Cricetulus griseus: one gene and its partners. The protein of the gene in region 2 binds, or shares a complex with, the protein of the main gene of each other region. Links are inferred from orthologs where the notes say so. Each region holds a gene or a part of one and is shown on either strand. Other genes may lie near its edges.

Region 1 (3,500 bases), on a different chromosome or scaffold from region 2:
GTTGAAAATTTCACTGGTGACCTCAGTGTGGACTTAAACCCAGGGGCCCAGTAGGAGGGACACTGGTCAGTCTTGCTTCTGGGTAGGGACCTGACTGGGAGTGTTCTTGGGAGCTGTGCCATGGCACCTTCCAAGTTGGGTGGTACTTTGTACCTCCAGGTAGAGCTTGAGATGGCCATTGACACCGTGAATCCCAACTACTGCCGCAGCAAAGGGGAACAGATTGCATTGAACGTGGATGGTGCCTGCGCTGATGAGACTAGCACATATTCCTCGTGAGTCCCTGCCCCTAGGGTTCTATTGCAGGTAAAGGTTAAATAGGAGTCTGCAGAGGCCTCAGAAGCATGGGGCCCTTTTTGCTCTTTCTCTGGGATCCCCATCATGTCAGGTCTCTCTACCTTTAACCATAGAAGGTTGTAGACCTTCCCTCCCAAGTTGGCTTGTCCCACCAGGTGCTTCTGGGCTACAAGGGAAACTGGCCTCTGGAGCCCCAGTCCATCATTCATTTCCTGGTGCACAGACAAAGCTATGAGTTTTCTCATTCCTTAGCCCTAGCTAGTGTATCTTGGAGGATGTTAGGATAGAATGGGGTTGGCTAGCTTCTCTGGAGCATTGTAGCCCTTCATACTAGTTCTGCTTGTGTTCCCAGGAAGCTAATGGACAAGCAGACCTTCTGCTCCTCCCAGACCACCAGCAACACGGCCCGATATGCAGCTGCACTCTACAGGCAAGGTACCTGGGTCTGGCTATACCCTGGGGAGATCACAAGGTGGGTTGGGCCTAGGGGACCTCACCCAGCCTAGATCTCCCCAGCCTAATGTATGGTCTTGGCCTCTACTGAATACCAAACCAGACAGGATCAAGGCAGCATAGAAATGACAAACTGTGGAGTCAAAGCACCACAAAGGGGATTTTCTGGCACTCCCAACTTGATAGAATTGGGCCTTCAAGTCAGTTTGCTGGTGGGAACACATATACAACACAGCATAGTATTGGGGACAGGTGGGGACAGGGTACTTAGAACCCAGCAATCCTGTTCATAGGCAGCATCTACTGAGGACAAATGAGGGTATGCCCACTTAAAATCTTGGACACAGATGTCCATAGGGCCTTTATTCATGAGACCTAAAGAATGGAAACAACCCAAAGCCCATTAAGTGATGCTTGAGTAAACAAAATGTGGCATATCCAAGTAACAGCCTTATCTGGTTATATGAAGGATTCCTGTTGTGTGTATAAAATCATGGAAGAAACCAGGCTCAAAAGACTACAAATGGCCGGGCGTTGGTGGCGCACGCCTTTAATCCCAGCACTCGGGAGGCAGAGGCAGGCGGATCTCTGTGAGTTCGAGGCCAACCTGGTCTCCAGAGTGAGTGCCAGGATAGGCTCCAAAGCTACACAGAGAAACCCTGTCTCGAAAAACAAAAAACAAACAAAACAAAACAAAACAAAAAGTGTGTGACAGAAACCAAACCAGGCCAGTAAACACAATGGGGAGAGGCAATTCANCCCCCCCCCCAAAAAAAAAGACTACAAATGGCCAGGCATAATTCATACTTAATCTCGGCACACCTTTAATCCCAGCATTTGGGAGACACATGAAGGTGGATCTCTGAGTTCCAGGCTAGTTTGGTCTATATATTAAGTTGTAGGATAATCAGGGCTATGTAGAGAGACCTTGCCTCAAAAAATAAATAAATAAAAAGATTGCTTGCTTACATGTTTTAGTTTTCTTTCCTGTTGCTGTGATAAAACACCCTGACGAGAGCAATTTAGGAGAAAGTTTTTTTGGCTCTACAGTCCCAAGTTACAGGCCACCATTGTTGGGAGGTCACAGCAGCAGGAAGTGATCACTTTACGTCCACAGTCAAGATGTGTGCAATGAGTGAATGCACACATGCTAGTGCTCAGCTTTCTTCACTCCAGTCTAAGGCCCCAGGCCCATTGGAGTGGTCCCACCCATGGGTGGGTCTTCCTCATAGTCAAGACAAAGCCCACAGACGTGCCCACTGTCTAACTTAATCCCTCACTGAGACACTTTTTCTAGGTGTTTCTAGACTGTGTTAGGTCGACAAGTAACCATCATTCCACATAATGCCATATTATGAACTGCAGAATAAACATCTGTAGAGGCATAGAGCTGTCAGTCCCCAGGACCAGAGGGAGGATGATGTGGGGTGTGACAGGTTTGTTTTGGGGTGATGAAAATGTGCTGAAGTTGAGAATGGCATTGTTGTCACAGTTCTGAGACTATGTTAACCTACGTCAAGGCGTGTGCTTCAAATGGGTGAATGTCTAGGGTGTGTCAGCCCATCAACACATCTGCCAGATGCTCACTTCATTCAGCATTTGGAGTTTGCAGAGCAGCAAGTGACATGGATCTGAATACAGAGGAAGTAGAATCAAAAGTCATATCCCAAGTAGCATGCACCTTTAATCCCGACACTCAGGAGGTAGAGGCAGGCAGATCTGTGAGTTTGAAGCCAATCTGGTCTACAGAGGGAGTTCAGGACAGCTAGGGCTGTTATACAGAGAAACCCTGTTTCGAAAAAACCAAAAAAAAAAAAAAGTCTTAGCTGGGTGGTGGCACACACTTTTAGGGAGTCAGGTAGATCTCTGAGTTTGAGACCAGCCTGGTCTACAGAACAAGTTCTAGGACAGCAAGGGCTACACAGAGAACCCCTGTTTTGAAAAATCAAAAACAAACAAAAAACAAGCAATGGCCCATAGCTACTATGTCCTGTCCTCAAGGCTGTATCTCTTTGAAGCTACATTTCTTTTTACATTTTTTTTAATATTTGTATGTGAGTGTTTTGTCTGCATGTGTATATGTGCATTGTGTGAGTGCCTGGTGCCTGAGGAGGTCAGAAGAGAGCATTGGATCCCCTGGAATTGGAATTACAGATGGTGTCTGCTGCCATGTGGGTGCTGGGAATCAGACTTGGGTCCTCTTCAAGAGCAACAAGTGCTCATAACTACTGAGCTATATCTCCAGCCCTGGAAGCTATAATTATTACAAAGACAGATCATAGGGACCAGACTGTCCTCTGATGGAGTCCAGTAGGGCTTTTGGCAGCAGCAGTGTGGCAAAGGGGGAAGAGGGGTGGCTACAGGGAGCAGTAGGGCTGAGGAAAGGAGACCTGACTTGGGTGGGGAGGGGCATGAGTGCTGGGGAGTATAGGGAGGTAAGTCTCAAGGAAGTGGCAGAGCAGAGTTAGGCTCCTGTTCCAGGGTGTGCTTGCTGTGCCTGGCAGGATCAGATAAGAGTTGGAAATACCTCCTAGCCTGGTATTGCTGAAGAGGCTAGATTGGGACTGGAGTAGGATCAGTGGTTTGGTTGTGGGGGACTTGGTGATTCCTTTGAGTAAGCTGGGTATGTTGGGCTGTGGCTTACAGGGGCAGGTTCAAGCCCTTCTTCCTTTGCCAGGTGAACTCCACCTGACACCTTTACATGGCATCCTACAGCTTCGGCCCAGCTTCTCCTACCTGGATAAGGCAGA
Region 2 (3,500 bases):
AACTGATAAAAACCTTCCATAATGTAACAGGATACAGGATTAACTAAAAAAAAATCAGTAGCTTTCCTATATACAGATGACAAATGGGCTGAGAAGGATATCAGAAACATCTCCTTTACAATAGCCATAAATAACAAAATACCTTGGTGTAACTCTAACCAACTAAGTGAAAGACCTGTATGACAGGAACTTCAAGTCTTTAAAGAAAGAAATTAAAGAAGATATCAGAAAATGGAAAGATCTCCCATGTTCTTGGATAGGTAGGATCAACACAGTAAAAATGGCAATCCTACCAAAAGTAATCTGCAGATTCAATGCAACCCCCATTAAAATCCCAGCATAAATCTTCACAGACCTTGAAAGAACAATACTCAACTTCATATGGAAAAACAAAAACCCAGGATAGCCAAAACAACCCTGTACAATAAAGGATCATCTGGGGGCATCACTATCCCTGATTTCAAGCTCTACTATAGAGCTATAGTAATGAAAATGAAAAGCTTGGTATTGGCATAAAAATAGACAGGTAGACAAAAGGAATTGAATCGAAAACCCCAATATCAACCCACACACCTATGAACACCTAATTTTTGACAAAGAAGCTAAAAATATAAAATGGAAAAAAGAAAATAGATTGAACAAATGGTGTTGTATAACTGGCTGTCAATGGGTAGAAGAACGCAAGATCCGTATTTATCGCTACGAACAAAGCTCAAATCCAAATGGGTCAAAGTCCTCAATATAAATCCATCCACACTGAACCTCATAGAAGAGAAAGTGGGAAATACACATGAACGCATAGGCACAGGAGACCACTTCCTAAAGAGAACAGCAGTCGCACAGACTCTGAGAGCAACAATTAATAAATGGACCTCTGAAAACTGAGAAGCTTCTGTAAAGCAAAGAACGAGATCAACAAGAGATTAAATATGTTAAATGCAGATATACAAAACAGTAGAAAGAGAACTATAGACATCACAAAAAGGTGAAAAAAATAGAAAAAATATTGATTCTAAAATTGAAGTGAAGCAACCTAGTTTACCAATACCTCGGCAGCTGTCACACTGCTTCTGTCCACATGAACTTGGGAATTTGAGACATGATGGCCTTGTTGGGATTTCCTTCTAGACGTATGTGCCTATGCCCTTTGGTACCTCAGCTGCTGTCTTAGCTTCTTATGTTGGTAAGTATGAACTGTACTACTCTCATCAATTTCCTTAATTCCTTACTTGCAAAAGCTGTCAATCAAGTTACTCTTATCTGCTGGTTTTCATTTTGTATTACTATCATTTCATACCAAGCACCTGATGCCAGGATAAGAATGCATTTTTGGTTCAATAAACTTAGGGTTTTGTGTTTGTGACAAGGTCTCACCTTGTAGCCCCAGCTCCTCAAACCCCTCGCACCCTATTCTTGAGTTTGCTAGTATTACAGGCGTGGTTTTGTATGCTGACTGACATTCCATGCCATAGGATATCTCTGAAGTTAGGGAGCAGCTCTCATCATCCTCAGACTTTTACCTCCTCTTGTTCCTCTTCATCGTACTCCTCTTGCTCTGCTTCATCATTGTCATCATCATCATCGTCATCGCCATCTTTATTTTTCTTTTTGCTCCCTTCTTTCTCTTCATTCTCTTCATCCGATTTTTCACCATCGCCTCTCTTTTCTAGTTCCTGGTAAAGGGAGATTCATTAATTTCCACTGAAACAACTATTCTTACATACCCAGCCCAAAGAGAAGAATTATGGATCATTTTAGGCTAATCCTAAATTAACACACGCCCGCCAGCCTCCCACCTCAGAAACTCAAGGAAAGGTCACCCACCATGCTGTCCCATTCTTCAATTTTGTGACTTAATCATTGGGCTTTGCTAACCTGGGGTTAGAATTCTAATCTACAATGCTTGCTTTTCATGTTTCCTATCCTACCTCCTCCTAAAATGTGTGGCATGATTTAGTTTATCCCCTTCCCATCTCCTTTGTCTTTCATTACTTCCCATTCCCAAGATTTTCTGCTTCGTGATACATCTGGAAGGTTGTGAAAAGGGGATTAAAACGAAAGTAAGTGAACACACCAGCCATTATGAGCCATCCTAGAAATAAGGAAGAGAAACAGAGTTGGGGAGTCTTGATGATTCTATTGATACTTGAAAACTCACCATGCCACAACCTCACAATTTGAATTTTATAAACACCTCATGACTGCCATTTTTTTTTTTCAATTGACAAAGGTGACCCATTTTTATTTCTGTTGCTCTCAGTTCACTAAGTTAGATGACCCTCACTTTACATAAGGGACAGAATTTCACAGGTTTTCTGGGAGCTGGGTACAATAATCATTTTGCATCTTCATAATTTAGGCTTCACATGACTAATTTCTGATTGGTCTTAACCCAGTAATTAGAAGAGTAACTAATAAAAATGTGTAGGCATTCTCCATCTCTCTTTAAGACTTTGTCAATTACTCATGAACAAGAAAAGCTATTTTACATCCAGAATAACTTCAACTTAGCTCTTCTTTAACTCCCTAAATATTTACTTTAAAAATTCTTTTAAAATCCCAGCACTTGGGATGCAGAGGCAGGCAGATCTATGTGAGTTTGAGGCTAGCCTGGTCTACAGAGTGAGTTCCACGACAGGCTCCAAAGCTACACTGAGAAACCCTGTCTTGAAAAACCAAAACCGAAACAAAACAAACAAAAAATTATTTTAATTCCAATTTTAAGTGAAGAAAATCAAAGGCAAAGAAAAGGCCACATTAAACAGACCCAATTTAAATGGATCACCTTTGAATGTTTGTATATGTGTGAATGCACGGGTGTGCATTAATATGTTCGTGTGTGTAGACATGCATGTGAAGACTGGAAGCTGACATTGGATATCTTCCTCAGTCACTCTCCATTTAATTTAGTAAAACGGGTTCTGGCTAGTTTTGGCAGCCCGTTGCTTGCCTTCGGGATCCCTTCTCTCTGTTTCCCAGGTGCTGGGATTATAGGTAGCTACAGGCTCACCTGACGTTGTGTGCATGCTGGGGCTTGGAGCTGCAGTTGTTATGGTTGCACAGTGAATGCTTTATCTATTGAGCCACCTCTTAAGCACATAATACTCAATTTTTAAATAAATCAAGCTATCTTGCTTGCAACTCACCTCACTCAAGCAGACCAAATTAAAATCAAACCTTGTGTTGCCTTGGCAGTTATTACAGCAATACCTTGTGTACAATTTCTCAACTGTCAATTTTCTTGGAAAATCTCAAGTGAACAAAATTTTCACAAACCTTTGATATATCTGACACACTCACGATGCTACATTAATATTAATTAATATAAGGTATTGTGCATTTTCTAATTTAACTAAATCGTAAGTAACAAGGCCTATAGCTAAATTCAATTATATAATTTATTTTACTCTGTGAAAAATATATTCTGTGATCTGGAAAGACAGCCACTAATTATTTCATAATTATAAACTAAATAGTTTTATTAAAAACAAAAACAAATA
Region 3 (2,700 bases), on a different chromosome or scaffold from region 2:
ATGTGTTCTTGGATTCGATTTGCCAGTATTTTATTTTGCCAGTATTTTATTGAGTATTTTTGCATCAATATTCATGAGGGAGATTGGTCTGTAGTTCTCTTTCTCAGTTGTGTCTTTGTGTGGTTTGGGTACCAAGGTAATTGTAGCCTCATAAAAAGAGTTTTTGCCTCAGTTTCTTAAGTGCTAGGATTATAGCTGTGTGCTACCACACTGGGCAGGTATTTTTTGTTATAGTCTCAGAAAACAGACTATAATAGATCCTTCCCCATGCTATGCTTCCAGCCAGAATTCAACAAAATTTGAGAAAGGAAGTACGATCAGGGAAGTGCTTTCAAAGTCACAGTTCTCTCTGGTCCCGTTAGTATTGGTGTGCTGTGGGCAGAATGTTGCTATCAGCAAATTCAGCATTGGCAAGGAAGTTGGAATGAGCATGGAGATGAGATGTTTACCCACACTTAAAACAGTATTTGTGTAATGTGGATGACTTGTTTTTCTCTTTGTCAGAGCCATGTCCAAAATGTGAACATCCCCGTGCCTACTTCATGCAGCTTCAGACCCGTTCTGCAGATGAGCCAATGACTACCTTCTACAAGTGCTGCAATGCTCAGTGTGGACATCGCTGGAGAGACTAAGGGCAGGACTTACCCAGCTGCAAGCATGAATTTTGTGTGCTGAAGGTCTTTGCTGTATGATAGGAAGCTGATTCTACTGAGGACTAGGGTAGAACAGGCCATCTGCAAGTCAGCAGATAAAAGTCCTTAATGAACAGGGACCTCAGGTCCTTGGGAAATACACATAAGAATATTCACTTGGCTTCAGGTCCTGTTCATTCATCCTTTGTGTTTAGTAGGTAGGTGATATTTCCTTACTACCATTAGTCCTATAAACTTGGTTTATAGCCAAAGATAATCTTAAACCTCCTATTCTTCCTTCCTCTGCATGTGAACTGTGTTCATTTTATGCAATGCTGGGGATTGAACTCTGAGCCTCATTCACGCTAGACAGGTACTCTGACAACTGAGCTATATCTCCAGCCATTTAGTTTTTAAAATAATTTCTATTTATTTATCTCTAGAGAAATTATAAAAATACCCATAAAATCATTGAAAAGCACTTTAAAATTCAGGATTGACATGATTCATCTTTTATGATTAACAATTAAAAAAACTGTTCTGTGATTTGGATTTTCTGGATGATGTTGATAGGAATTTAAAAGTAACCAAGAATATTTTATATTTCCAGCTAGAGAGAATGATCCACAATAAAGCCTGTGCCTAGCATGTGCAAAGGTCTGTGTTTGAACCACATTCAAAAATCTATTAAAACTTGAATAAATTTAGAAAAGTCACATATTTATTGATACTACTAGTGAGATTACTCTGTATAATGGACATATTTTCTATGTTGGAAGCTCTGATCGCTTCCATGCAACTGGTCAGTCATATATATGATAAAGAGTGCAGATAGTAAGGCTATCTAAAATAACAGTGCCCTTCTATGAACATAGCATTTCTGACATTTTCAAAGTCCTTAAGTGGAGATAAGGATGAGTAATTCACAAAAGGTGACTTTGAAATCTTTGATCTATGGTTGTTTTCAAGCCTTTGGAACTTCACTGATCATCTCCTTTCACTAACTCTATTACAAAGGAGAGTCACACAGTCTTTGAATGAGGATGTATTTGAGTATTAGATCACTTACCTAGCATATGATAAGTTCTGGGCTCAATCCTTGGTACTGGATGACAGAGGTGTGGAGGAGAATGATAATTTTTACTTAAAATAAAAGTAAGTAAGGGTTAGGACATTGTCACATTTCTGGTGAGAGTGGAAGTCAGTACCAGTTCAATAGTTTCTCAGGGCAATAAGGCAATGGCTATGAGTATTTTAAAATGCTACCCAAGGGTGACACAAACATGCAGTGCTATCACTTGAGAGGCAGAAGCAGGGGTATTGGAAGGTCCAGGCCATCCTGTTATTGGCAGCAGGAGTTGGAAGAGAAGACCTTAACAACAGTATATTTGGTTTAGGGTTTGGTTACTTGGTGTTTTGGGTGTTAAGGAGGTAATTACATTTATTTGTTCTTTGTTTCATGGTAAGGAAGTCTTTTGCTTTCCCCTCTTTTGATTGGGGTATATAAGGGCTTTGAGTAATAAACTTGGGGCTGATCCTAGTATTTACTGGGTGCCCTCCCCACTCTATGTCTTATCTATTTCTTTCCTTAATCCATATTCCTACTGACAAGCCAGCAGGACCAGACACTACACATCACTGGCAGCACCCCCAGAGACCTCTACTTAGGCAGAGCTAGGATATCAGTGGATAAAGTGCTTGTTGCAAAATCATGAGGACCTGAGTTCATATAATTGGCATGTAAAAGCTCAGGGTTAGGATTAGTGTTAGGGTTTAGGAGTTAGGGTCAGGGTTGGGGGGTTAGGCTTAGGGGATTTGGGTTAGTGGGGTTTAGAGTTATGATTGTTAGGTTTGGGTTTAGGTTTAGGGTAACTCAATTAGATTTAGGCTTAGTGTTAGGGTCGTTGTTATGGTTAGGGTAACTCGGTGAGGGTTAGGTTAGGGGTTTAGGGTTGGAGTTAGGGTTAGAGAGTTAGTATTGGGGGTTAGGTTTAGGGTTGGTGTTAGACTTAGGGGGTTATGGTTAGGTTGGCTTTAAGGTTTTGGTTAGAGTGTATTAGGGTTAAGT
Region 4 (4,266 bases), on a different chromosome or scaffold from region 2:
GCTTTCTAACGTCCCCGTCTCTAGGTAGAGTTGTCTATGGAGGACATAGAAACCATCCTGAACACACTCATTTATGATGGGAAAGTGGAGATGACGATCATTGCTGCAAAGGAAGGCACTGTCGGCAGTGTAGATGGACACATGAAACTGTACAGGGCAGTCAACCCAATCCTCCCACCTACAGGCTTAGTCCGGGCACCCTGTGGACTCTGCCCCGTAAGTAAAAGCTGCTTCATTTTGTACTTTTATCACCACCATGTGCAAATGCCACATAAAGAAACAACAGGCACACCAGGCTTCCCACCAGCAAGTGTCACCTGAGCTATTCAAACTGCCACAGACTCTTGATAGACAGATTGTTAATGAACAGGTCTTACATTATTTCTTGGAGCATTCAGGGTAGGGACATGTCCTTCTGTTCTTGACCCTGAAATGGATACATTTTCATCGGGACTAACCATTTCTTCTCTGTAGGGAGGGAAATGAAATTTGTTCAAAAGCTGCCACGAGCCAAACTTATTCTAATCCTTCTGTGCCCAGGGCACTAGTGGTGTTATTTCCCCTAAGGAGTGAGAGAACTTAGGGCTGAGTGTAACTCAGTGGCAGAGCACATGCTTAGTATACACATGGCCTTTCGCCCCAGGTTTTAACCCCTAGTGCCCTCCCCCCAGAACAGAAGGAACTTAGACTTAAGCAGAAAGTATCACTTTGAATAAGTATAATTTTTTTTCCATTATGCTTTAGCACTTTCACTCATTCATTCCTAGGTAGTTCGTAAACACGGTGCTGGACATCCTGAGGCTACAGAGAGCAAAAGCACTCCCTATCCCTGTGGCATTTATATTCTTGGGCTGCTATTCTGACATATTCATTATGATAACCCTTGTCTGTACCTATAAGCTCTCTGTGACCCAGTTTCAACTCCTAAACAAAAGCCAACATCCTGTACATCCTACTTTACACCCTGTAAAGATAGTTAAGCATAAAACAACCTTCAATTTAGTACAAATTAAGTTGTTCATAAGTATAGGACTCACTTTCTTCACTCCTATGAACCAGCTGATAGCCTTTTACCAGTGGGCAGGTGAATGGGATCACCTTTATGATGTGTTAATAGGCCTCCAAGCTAGGCAGGATAGTGTACACCTTTAATCCCAGCACTTGTTAGGCAGAGCTTTGTGAGTTTCAGACCTGCCTGTTCTACATAGGGAGTTCTAGGACAGCTGGGACTATATAGTGAGACACTGTCTCAAAAAAAACAAAAACAAGCTAAAAACAAAAAGCTTATAAAAAGTTGACTATGATCACAAGGTAGGCACTGTTATATTGTGCTCCTAAATACAGTCCTAATCCAATTCAAATAGTGTTTTCTTTTTTTCTTGTGTTAGTACTGCTTTAAATCAATGGGGGTTTAGGTATTTTAAAACTTCAATTTGAAGCCGGTGGTAGTGGCGGCGCAGGCCTTTAATCCCAGCTCTTGGGAGGCAGAGGCAGGTGGATCTTTGTGAGTTCGAGGCCAGCCTGGTCTACAGAAGGAGTACCAGGACAGCCTCCAAAGCTACAGAGAAACCCTGTCTCGAAAAACAAAACAAAAAAGCTTCAATTTGAATGTGAACTTTTTTTTGTGTTTCTTTTTAAGGTTTTTGATGACTGCCATGAAGGTGGTGAGATTTCACCATCTAATTGTATTTACATGACAGAGTGGCTCGAATTTTAATAGAGAGCTGTGAATTTTACTTACATTTGGCAAATGAATTACTTGGAGAGCAAATAATTCATGATAGAACATCCAGTTTCTTTGAAAGCATACTTCTCTATGATGGATACTGACTTGCTGCTATGAAAACGTATTTATTTCCGAAGACAGAACACAAAGCAGATGAAGTTTAATAAAGTTTAATAGGGAAGTCTCTTCAAGAAAATACCTTGAAGCTCTGGAAAAGAAGCCAGCAAACCTACACTGACCAAGTACTGCGATAACAGATAGAGCGTGAAGGTGACATGTAAAGTTACTTGTTAATGTCTTCATTGAAACTCATCATATCAGGTTTATTATCACCATTTCTGTTGGTTCGTTCTTGGGTTTCATTGAGAGGAACAGCTGACGATGGGATGTGTGCAGACTTGGGGCCTGAATGTAAAGTGGACATCCGTTTTCCACACTGTCCATTCCTCTTCACTTCAGCAGCACTGTTTCAGGAGAGCATGCTGCCACACTGACTTTGTGTCCAGGACAGGAGTTTAGATCAGTGGTAGTCCATCCTAAAGGGGATAATCTCCCAACTCCTTTGTTGTTAAGGTTGTAAATCTCTCTGTATGGCTTAACTGTACTACTTGCCAGAATTTTTTCCAGATTCTTACTTCATGCCTATAGTTTGACCCTCTCTGCCATCAGCATCAAATTCAAATTTTGTAATCTAATCCCCATGTGCGATGTGATAAGTAGGACCTTTGGAAGGTGACAGATCGTGAGTGTAGAGTCCTCATGAGTGGAATTAGGGCCTGTATAGAAGACACCCAAAGTGTTCTGTTGGCTCTTTATCATTCCAGAGCACAGGGGAAAGAATAAGGATGTGGGCCCTTGTTAGACAGTAAATCTACCAGCACATTCGACTTCCCAGCTAGAAGCAGTTCTCAGTCTGTAGGTTGCAACCCCTTTGGGGTTTGAACAACCCTTTTAAGGGTTTGTCTGAGATCTTCAGAAAACAGACATTTACTTTACAGTTCATAACAGTAGCAACATTATAGTTACACAGTAGCAAAAAAAATAATTTTATGGTTGGGATGAGGACAACATGAGGAACTGTATTAAAGGGTCGCAGCATTACGAAAGTTGAAAACCAGTGATCTATTGTGTTCTATCAAAGCAGATAGAAGAGATAGTATCTAATATTTTAACTAAACTAAAACTAGCTGGGTATGATGGTGCACTCTTTTAATCCTAGTACTTGCGAGGCAGAGGTAGGTAGATCTTGGTTAATTTGAGACCCTTGGTTAATTTGGCCTACATAGTGAGTTCCAGGACAGCCAGGGCTATAGAGAAAGAGACCCTGTCTCAAAAAATAACAGTAGATCATTGCCCTTCGTTTTGAGGGGTGAGAACCTGTCTTTTACAGTATTTTAGATCGGTCTCCTTTTTTCTTCTTCTTTTCTAAAAACATGGAGTGCTGTGTCTAAGCAGAAAAAAAATCACTGTAGTTTGTTAGTCCCAGCACTGGGCACTGGAAAACACTAATTGTCGTGCTGTTACACAGAAGATAGCCATATGCCTTTTATGGATCTCAGTGGTTGATATTTGCTTTCCCTCTCCCTCTCCCTCTCCCTCTCCTCTTTTGAGACAAAGTTTTTCTGTATGGCCCTGGCTATCCTGAAACTTTAGACCATGTTGACCTTGAATTCAGAGATCCACCTGCCTCTGCCTCTGAGTGCTGGAATTAAAGGACTCTTCTACTATGTCTACTTTACTTTGTGTCTTAAAAGTTTCTTTATGTGAAACATGGGCCAACTGAAAGGGTTCACACTCCACCCTTGTATTCTGTCTTTTTGTTTTATTTTGTTGGAGAAGAGTCTTACTCTACACTGGAGTTCACTTTATGGTCTAGGCTGGCCTTGAACTTATGGTGGTTCTGCTTTAGCCTCCCAAGTGCTGGGATTACAGGCATTTAGCAGCCATGCCTGGCTTTCTATTATCTTGGTAATTAGATACTAAGTTTTAAATTTGCTGTGTCCCTTGCCTCACCAGAATAAAAAGGTACTTGAAAAGGTTTTCTTCATAGCATTTTTTTTTACTGGGTAGTTTTTGTAGCATATTATTTAATCTATTAACTGAAAGGGATAGATAAATATAACAAAATGTAGCAACTGTGCTGTAAATAAAATGAATTTGCCTACAGAAATAAGCTGTTATCCTTGGCCTCTAAAATCATGGTGCCACAAAGCAAAACTGCAGATGAAGTCCAGATACTTCAGTCTTTCTCAGTATTACGTATTTTGCTTACCTGAGAACATATACTCTAGTCTCTTTAAAAGTGGCCCATAAAAAGAAAATTAGACATTGCCAGTCATGGTGGTGCATGCCTTTAATTTCAGCACTTGGGAGACAGGCAGGTCCAGGCGGATCTCTTGAGTTCAAGGCCAGCCTGATCCTACAGAGAGAGTTCCAGGACAGCCAGGGATACACAGAGAAACCTGTCTCGGAAAAACAAAACAAATTGACATAAGTCCACTTAATGGTTTTTCATGGATTCTCACGTGAAACTCCCAATT
Region 5 (3,500 bases), on a different chromosome or scaffold from region 2:
TAGGGAAGAAAGAAGTGTCAGTAAACATGAGGGCTGACTGTGCCAGTGGATGGGTGTTTACTTTGCCAGTTCCAAAGAACAATTTCTCTTTATTTCTGTGGACATACAGGAAATTCCTAAAACCCCAGACCATGCCCCATCCAGGACCTTCTATCTGTACACGGTGAATGTACTGTCGGCTGCCAGGATGCTGTTGCACAGGTGCTATAAGGTAACAGAATTCGGGCTTTCTCCGTCCCTCACAGATGGCCTCACCCTCCCACCTCCCTTGCCCACTCCACGCCACTTAGAACTGTTCACATTTCTAGTCTGTGTTCTCTCTCCTCAGAGCATAGCCAACTTGATAGAAAGGCGGCAATTTGAAACGAAAGAGAACAAGTGAGTGAACTCTTCTCCACTGGGTCATCTACACTCTTCCCCCCACCCCAATCTGTCAGACATCTCTTTTTTTATACTATTTTTTCCACTGAACCAATAACTAAAACACTTTGAGAATACATGGTGTCCCTTCTCCTTTACCTGGTACCTGTGGGCCCCAACACATTCATTTACATTTTTCAAGGTCCAAAGCCTGAGGGAAAACTTGCTATAAAAATGGCAACAGTAGGCCAAGCAGTGCTGATGCACGCCTTTAGTCCTAGCACTTGGGAGGCTGAGGCACAAGGATCTCTGTGAGTTCGAGACCAGCCTGGTCTACAAAGTGAGTTCCAGGATAGCCTCCAAAGCCACAGAGAAACCATCTCGAAAAACCAAAAAAAGAAAGAAAGAAAGAAAGAAAGAAAGAAAGAAAGAAAGAAAGAAAAGAAAAGAAAAGAAAAGAAAACAGTAGCCCAGTACACAGTATAGTTGCATTGAGTCATAGGTTTGGGTTGGCATAGCCATGCCTTAGTTAACACTTGTTGACTATACCCCCAATTAAATAATTTTGCAAATTTATGAGGCATGTGCTTGACCCCAGAGTTCAAGTTTCAAGAACAAGGTTCTATTTGTGATTAAGTTATGGACAGTGTCTTTAGATGAAACATGGAAAGGAGGGACCTGGACCTCTGGAATAGAGTACAAGAGAATCTCAAAGTTAAGGACACACCTCACAGTTTTGTCTGTCTGATAGGCGGCTACTAGAAAAGTCTCAGCGGGTAGAAGCGATCATTGCATCAATGCAGGCCACGGGTGCAGAGGAGGTGCAGCTTCAGGAGATAGAGGAGATGATCACAGCCCCTGAGCGCCAGCAGCTGGAGACTCTGAAACGCAACGTTAACAAGTAAGTGGTGGGAATTCATACTGTACTTGACGATGCCTTTCAAACAAGTGTGCTTCACAGCCTGTGCTTCACAGCCTGCGCTCCTCCGATTCAGTGAGCAAACCTAATCTCAGCATCATCTTTCCTAGCCTAATTAAAAGAATTGAATCTACCAAGCATGGCAGCACAATCCTTTAATAGATCTCAATGAGTTCGAGGCCAGCCTGGTCTACATAGTGAGTTCCATGTCAGCCAGGGCTATATAGAAAGACCCCGTCTCCCCCCCACCCCCAAAAAAAAAAAAAATATTCAACCTGTTTTTCTAAGTAGCCATTCTGAGGCCATCATGCTTCCTTTCTATACTGTCATTCACCAAGTACTAAGAACTTTACTTCAGCCTCAAGTCTGGCGTTTCATCTTGGTCCTTTGTTGCCTCTTGCCTAGAGCTTTGCAGTAACCTGATCCTACAAACCATGTGTCACAATGCTCTTAAGGTGTGTGTGTGTGTGTGTGATTTTGTGTGTATTCTGGTCCTAACACTTGGATGGCAAGCAATTTAACCCTCTGGCCCATCTCCCCAACCCTCAGGTTATTTATTGTCTTTGAAGTGAGTAACAGCATCACTCTTCTAGTTGAAATGATTTATTGGCTTCCTTGCTTGTGTTTATGTTTGCTCATCCTTTGATTTGGAAGGAGTTACACTTTTTGACTAAAGGTCTCATATAGTCATACTGGCCTTGAACTGAATCTACTGATTCCAACACCTCCAAAGTGTTGGAATTACCAATGTATACCACCACCCCTGGCTGAGATGATTTATTGATTTGTCTTTTTACAATATAAAATCCAAGTTCATTGCTGTGCCATGAGGCCTTTCATAGTTTCATAGCAGTATACTTCCTGTTGTAGAACAGGTGTGGGTTCAATCAGGGCACTTTAAGGATGATTTTAGCCTTTCCAACTGCAGGACTCAGCCTGTAGGGGACTGAGACACCTTCCCTTAGGAAAGGTCCTTTTTTATTGTTCTCCAACTTACTCCTTTAGCAAGTTGATTTCCATATCCCCAAAACATCCTAAGCTTCCAAATGGACAATACCAAATGCAAATTCTTGATTAAGGAATATCACAGTGTGCTGGATTTTTCCCAACCAAGTTTTGCTTAGGCTTTGTACCCTTGGGAAACTCTTAGACACAATTCATATGTTAAATGCTGAAGCCAAAAGGGCAGATTAAGGCTATGTTCAGACACTCCAGAGCCAGCTGCAGCTGTGTAGCTGTTCTCCCTACAACTCCCATCTTTGTTTCCATTTACTCATTAACAGGGATTGTTAATTGTAATTTTATTTATTTTGTTTGTTTGTTTTGTTTTTTCGAGACAGGGTTTCTCTATAGCTTTGGAGGCTGTCCAGGAACTAGCTCTTGTAAACTAGACTGGTCTCGAGCTCATTGAGATCTATTAAAGGCTTGTGCCTGCCTCTGCCTCTGCCTCTGCCTCTGGAGTGCTGGGACTAAAGGTGTGTGTCACCACCTTCCGGCAATTGTAAATTTATTAATCCTAGTATTTTTTATGGGCTCCTAGGGATTTCCTATGTCATTTCTGAATAGTTTTACTTCTGTCTTTTCAATCTGATTGCCTTTTTTTTTTTTTTTAACTTGCCTAATTGCCTTGACTTCCAGTAGAAGGTTGTAAGGACATTTTGACTTTGTTCCTGATCTAAGGAGGGAAACTGAGTTTTTCACTATTAAGTGTGGTGTAAGCTGTGGTTTTATTTTCCCCTTTGGTTTTATAAGATTGGGAAAGTTACCCTTCCTGATTAGCACTAACTCTTCACCTCATGGTTTCGGAACTCGCTCTGTAGACCAGGCTGGTCTAGAACTCACAGAGATCCTCGGACCTCAGCCTCCCGAGTGCTGGGATTAAAGGTGTGCGCCACCACCTCCCGGCTTTACCTCTACTCTTACATATATATGCTTTTCTTTCTCATGGTTGTAAGTAAAACTTTTAAGTGTAGGCTCTCCTGGTTCTCTCTCTTGCCACATGCTCAGGAATAAATAAGCAATTCTTCATGACCACACCCAGCCCAGCTTCTAACCTTGAGCATGCTAGTGAGCAGTAACCCCAAGCAAATGCTTTCACTTTTTCCCTCAGGTTGGATGCCAGTGAGATCCAGGTAGATGAAACCATCTTCTTGCTGGAGTCATACATCGAGAGCACCATGAAGAGACAGTAACCCAGAAGAAAGCAGTGTTGGGATCTATC
Region 6 (4,103 bases), on a different chromosome or scaffold from region 2:
TCTGGCCTTGAACTTGCTGTTGGGAGGATGATCTTGAATCCCTAATCCTCTTGCCTCCAACTCCCAAATGCTGGGATTATAGCAGATATGGGCCAGCAGGTCCAACCTTTTTTCTTTTCTTTCTTTCTTTCTTTTTTTTTTTTTCTTTTTGGTTTTTCAAGACAGGGTTTCTCTGTGTAGCTTTGGAGCCTATCCTGGCACTCCCTCTGGAGATCAGGCTGGCTTCGAACTCACAGAGATCCACCTGCCTCTGCCTCCTGAGTGCTGGGATTAAAGGCATGCGCCACCAACCCCCTTTCTTCTTTTTTCAAAGTTTTATTTTATTTTTTTGGTTTTTCGAGACAAGGTTTCTCTGTGTAGCTTTGGAGCCTATCCTGGTACTCGCTCTGTAGACCAGGCCGGCCTCGAACTCACAGTGATCCACCTGCCTCTGCCTCCTGAGTGCTGGGATTTAAGGCATGTGCCACCAGCACCCAGCCAAAGATTTATTTTATGTGTATCTGTGAGTGTCTGTGTGTATGTATATACTTCACATGTGTGCCTGGCGGGGGCTATATAAAAGGCCTTGGATCCTCTGGAATTGGAGTTACAGGTTGTTGTGAGCCACCACGTTGGTGCTGGGAATCAATTCCTGATCCTTTGCTAGAAATGGAAGTACTCTTAACTGCTATGCCATCTCTCCAGGTGTCTCTCTTTCTCTCTCCCTCCCTCTCCCTTTCTCTCTGTTTCTTGTGTGGCCTAGGTTGTCTCACAAAAATGTGCTAGCCTCTACCTTCCCTTTTTTCCCTTGCTGGAATTAGAGGCGTGCGCCACCATGCCTGGCTGGCTTCTGGGGGTTTTGGTTGGTTGATTGGTATGTGTGTGTGTGCCTGTGCGTTTTTTTTAAACAAGATTTTATTTATTTATTATGTATACAACATTCTGCTTCCATATATATCTGCACATCAGAAGAGGGCACCAGATCTCATAACGGATGGTTGTGGGCCACCATGTGGTTGCTGGGAATTGAACTCAGGACCTTTGGAAGAGCAGCCAAAGGTGCTCTTAACCTCTGAGCCATCTCTCCAGCCCTGTTTTTTGTTTTTTTACACAGTGGTCTGCAATAGCCCAAGATAGCTTGAAACCCACTCTGTAGCACAGGCTAGCCAGGAACTCGTGGCAATCCCCCTGCTTCAATCTCTCTAGTGCTGAGATATCAGCTGCGAACTGACTGGCTTGGAGATTTTTAAAGCGTCCAAGACAGGAACCTTATCTTATTAAAACCCTAACAAAACCTAGACCATAAAAAAGTTTAAATTTTGCCTCCAGAGGCTGAAATTCGAAATCCGTACGACGCAAGGAGCCCGGCGTTCCCTACAGCGATCCCGGCATGCAACACGGCGTCCCAGAGTGGCTTGCGGCGCACACGCAGGCCGAGAGCTCCGCGGCGGTGGCACGACGGGAGGCCGTTCCCTTCCAGCGGCTGCGCAGGACGAAGCGGCTGCGACATGGAAGTGTAAGCCGCATGTCCGAGGGCAACCCGACTCATCTGGGGGCCGGAGACGGCTGGTGGTCGACCCTCCGCACCCGCTACCAGGGCGGGAGGGCGGAGTGGACGGGCCGGAAGTATCTGGAGGTGGGGCGGCTGGGGAGGGATCCTGCTGGTCCCGCAACCCACGTTCTTTGAGGGAGGGGAGTGTAGGAGCAATGAGTTTTGTTTGCTTGTTTGTTTTTCCTCCTGGTTCTGGGTATGAAACTCAAGACCTTGCACGCGCTCCGCAGTCGTCTGCCCCCCCCCCCATCATCATCATTTTGTAATGCTGGAGTTGGTACCCAGGGCTTCTCACATGCCAGGCAAAGGCTGCAACCCTAGCCGTTACCACCGTCGTTATTTGTGATACTGATACCCAGGGCTGTGAACATACAAAGGTGTGCTAGTTTCCTTTCTGTTGTGTGAAAAACACCATGACCAAACAAGGAACTTCGGGGTAGAAGTTTATTACATCTTTTGGTTTTTTGGAGACAGGGTTTCTCTGTGTATCTCTGGCTGTCTTGGCACTCGCTCTGTAGACCAGGCTAGCTTCGAACTCTCAGAGATCCATCTGCCTTTGCCTCCCTGAGTGCTGGGATTAAAGGCGTGCACGACTACCGCCTGACAGGGTTTATTTATTACATCTTACACTTCAGGACACAGTTCATCATTGAGGGAAGTCAGGGCAGGAACTCAAGGCAGAAACCTGAACAGAACCCGTTCAAAAATTCTGCTATCGGTTTACTCTCAGGCTTTTTTTTTTTTTTTAAGATTTTATTTTATTTATTATGTATACAACATTCTGCTTCCATGTATATCAGCGCACCAGATCTCATAAGGGATGGTTGTGAGCCACCATGTGGTTGCTGGGAATTGAACTCAGGACCTCTGGAAAAAGTCAGTGCTCTTAACCATTGAGCCATCTCTCCAGCCCACTCTCTGGCTTTTTACAACAACAACAACTCCTCATTTTCTTTTCTTTTCTTTTCTCTTCTTTTCTTTGTTTTTCTCTTGAGACAGGGTTTCTCTGTGGCTTTGGAGGCTGTCCTGGAACTAGCTCTTGTAGACCACAGAGATCCGCCTGCCTCTGCCTTCCAGTGTACTGTTAATTGTTTTGTGGTGCTGGGGATGGACACTAGGGTGCTAGGCAAGTGCTTTAGCACTAAGCCACGTGCCCATCATCATATAGTGGTGTTTGGAATGGTAGCATCCTGAGCATTCTAGGCAGTTACTCTCCCACCAGCAAAGCCATCTTGACAGTTTTTTCTCCATACTGTTTTTTTTCTTCTTTTTTTTTGTTTTTTTTTTTCTTTTTTGATGTGCAAATGTAAGTTTTTGCATCTATTCTACCTGTGGACTTTATATATCCCTGGATGACATACCTAAATTGTGGGGTTTTTTTTTTTTTTGTGGGGGTGGTTTGAGACAGGGTTTCTCTGTGTATCTTTGGAGCCTATCCTGGCACTCGCTCTGGAGACCAGGCTGGCCTCGAACTCACAGAGATCCGTCTGCCTCTGCCTCCCCCCCCCCCAGTGCTGGGATTAAAGGTGTGTGCCACCGACGCCCAGCTCTAAATTGTGTTATCATTCATTGTTCTTTACCTTCTGTTCACTTGTAATATATACTACAGTTTGTCAGACTTTTTAATACAGAGTCATAAGTAGCTCAGACAGGCTTTGATCTTGGTATTCAGCAGAGGATGATCTTAAGTTCTATGTCTCCACCTCTCAAGCTGCCACATCAGATTAGTATTTGTATGGGGGGGGTCTCACTGTGTAGCTCAGGCTGTCTGGTTCAGCTTTCTCCATCTGAGTAGCTATTGTCAGACACCCTGGCAATGCTCAGCTCTCTGACATGGCCCTGAATTTCCCTCTCCATCCTACTGCTGGGAGTTCTTTTGTTACTCCTCTTCCCTTGCTGGTCTCAATGTTATTGAGCATCTTAGTGCTTCATCTTCTTGGGACACTTTCTGTTCCCATTCTTGGTATACATTCATTTATATGATGGTGGTTCCTCAAAATGTTTCTTTTTTTCTTTTTTTGTCCCTCATTTTCTGTCAAATTGTTTAAAACAAAATCTAGCATATTCCCTACCAGTCATCAGACAGTCCTTTTCTTGTTTTCCAGCACCCCCCACCCCTTGTAGTAGGGTCTCATGTACCCAAGGCTTAGCTTAACCTTGAACTTACTACCCATTCAAGGGTGGCCTTGAGCTTCTGATCCTCCTGCTTTTACTTTGCCATTGCTGAGTTTACTGGTGTATTACACCATACCCTGTTTATGCAGTGCTGGGGATGGGGCCAGGGTTTTATTCGTCTTAGGAGTGTTGTAATTTAAGAAAAGCGGTGCACGAGAGAAAGATGCCATGCACAGGGTTCAAGCAGAGGGGTTTTTTATAGGGGAAAGGGAAGGAGGAGATTGGCTTCCGAGACAGGGGCAGCAGTTGAGAGGAGAAAGGAAAGGGATAAAAAGGAAAGAGGGAGAGAGAGAAGAATGGGGGAGGGGGAAACAGACAGAGAGGGAGGGAAAGAAAGAGAGAAAGGATGGGAGGTAGGCAGGGCCCTTTTAAAAGGGAACACAGTGAATATGTACAG

The links.
Region 1: Polr3g (region 2) and Polr3e share a complex: the UniProt entries of both Homo sapiens proteins name them as parts of the RNA polymerase III complex. The link is inferred for Cricetulus griseus from reciprocal best matches to the Homo sapiens genes POLR3G and POLR3E.
Region 3: Polr3g (region 2) and DNA-directed RNA polymerase III subunit RPC10 share a complex: the UniProt entries of both Homo sapiens proteins name them as parts of the RNA polymerase III complex. The link is inferred for Cricetulus griseus from reciprocal best matches to the Homo sapiens genes POLR3G and POLR3K.
Region 4: Polr3g (region 2) and Polr3f share a complex: the UniProt entries of both Homo sapiens proteins name them as parts of the RNA polymerase III complex. The link is inferred for Cricetulus griseus from reciprocal best matches to the Homo sapiens genes POLR3G and POLR3F.
Region 5: Polr3g (region 2) and Polr3c share a complex: the UniProt entries of both Homo sapiens proteins name them as parts of the RNA polymerase III complex. The link is inferred for Cricetulus griseus from reciprocal best matches to the Homo sapiens genes POLR3G and POLR3C.
Region 6: Polr3g (region 2) and Crcp share a complex: the UniProt entries of both Homo sapiens proteins name them as parts of the RNA polymerase III complex. The link is inferred for Cricetulus griseus from reciprocal best matches to the Homo sapiens genes POLR3G and CRCP.

What each region holds. Positions count from the first base shown.
Region 1 is NC_048596.1:79,724,956-79,728,455, reverse strand, and holds part of Polr3e (DNA-directed RNA polymerase III subunit RPC5), read left to right. Parts: intron 1-159; coding exon 160-275; intron 276-649; coding exon 650-732; intron 733-3,427; coding exon 3,428-3,500. UniProt on the Homo sapiens protein: DNA-dependent RNA polymerase catalyzes the transcription of DNA into RNA using the four ribonucleoside triphosphates as substrates.
Region 2 is NC_048595.1:302,134,360-302,137,859, forward strand, and holds part of Polr3g (DNA-directed RNA polymerase III subunit RPC7), read right to left. Parts: intron 1,674-3,500; coding exon 1,521-1,673; intron 1-1,520. UniProt on the Homo sapiens protein: DNA-dependent RNA polymerase catalyzes the transcription of DNA into RNA using the four ribonucleoside triphosphates as substrates.
Region 3 is NC_048599.1:54,889-57,588, reverse strand, and holds the end of DNA-directed RNA polymerase III subunit RPC10, read left to right. Parts: intron 1-504; coding exon 505-632; 3' UTR 633-2,200; downstream 2,201-2,700. UniProt on the Homo sapiens protein: Core component of RNA polymerase III (Pol III) which synthesizes small non-coding RNAs using the four ribonucleoside triphosphates as substrates. Can mediate Pol I proofreading of the nascent RNA transcript.
Region 4 is NC_048599.1:34,454,945-34,459,210, reverse strand, and holds the end of Polr3f (DNA-directed RNA polymerase III subunit RPC6), read left to right. Parts: intron 1-24; coding exon 25-216; intron 217-1,639; coding exon 1,640-1,717; 3' UTR 1,718-3,766; downstream 3,767-4,266. UniProt on the Homo sapiens protein: DNA-dependent RNA polymerase catalyzes the transcription of DNA into RNA using the four ribonucleoside triphosphates as substrates.
Region 5 is NW_023276806.1:59,785,402-59,788,901, forward strand, and holds part of Polr3c (DNA-directed RNA polymerase III subunit RPC3), read left to right. Parts: intron 1-109; coding exon 110-211; intron 212-328; coding exon 329-378; intron 379-1,111; coding exon 1,112-1,261; intron 1,262-3,389; coding exon 3,390-3,471; 3' UTR 3,472-3,500. UniProt on the Homo sapiens protein: DNA-dependent RNA polymerase catalyzes the transcription of DNA into RNA using the four ribonucleoside triphosphates as substrates.
Region 6 is NC_048597.1:109,299,808-109,303,910, forward strand, and holds the start of Crcp (DNA-directed RNA polymerase III subunit RPC9), read left to right. Parts: upstream 1-1,303; 5' UTR 1,304-1,487; coding exon 1,488-1,495; intron 1,496-4,103. UniProt on the Homo sapiens protein: DNA-dependent RNA polymerase catalyzes the transcription of DNA into RNA using the four ribonucleoside triphosphates as substrates.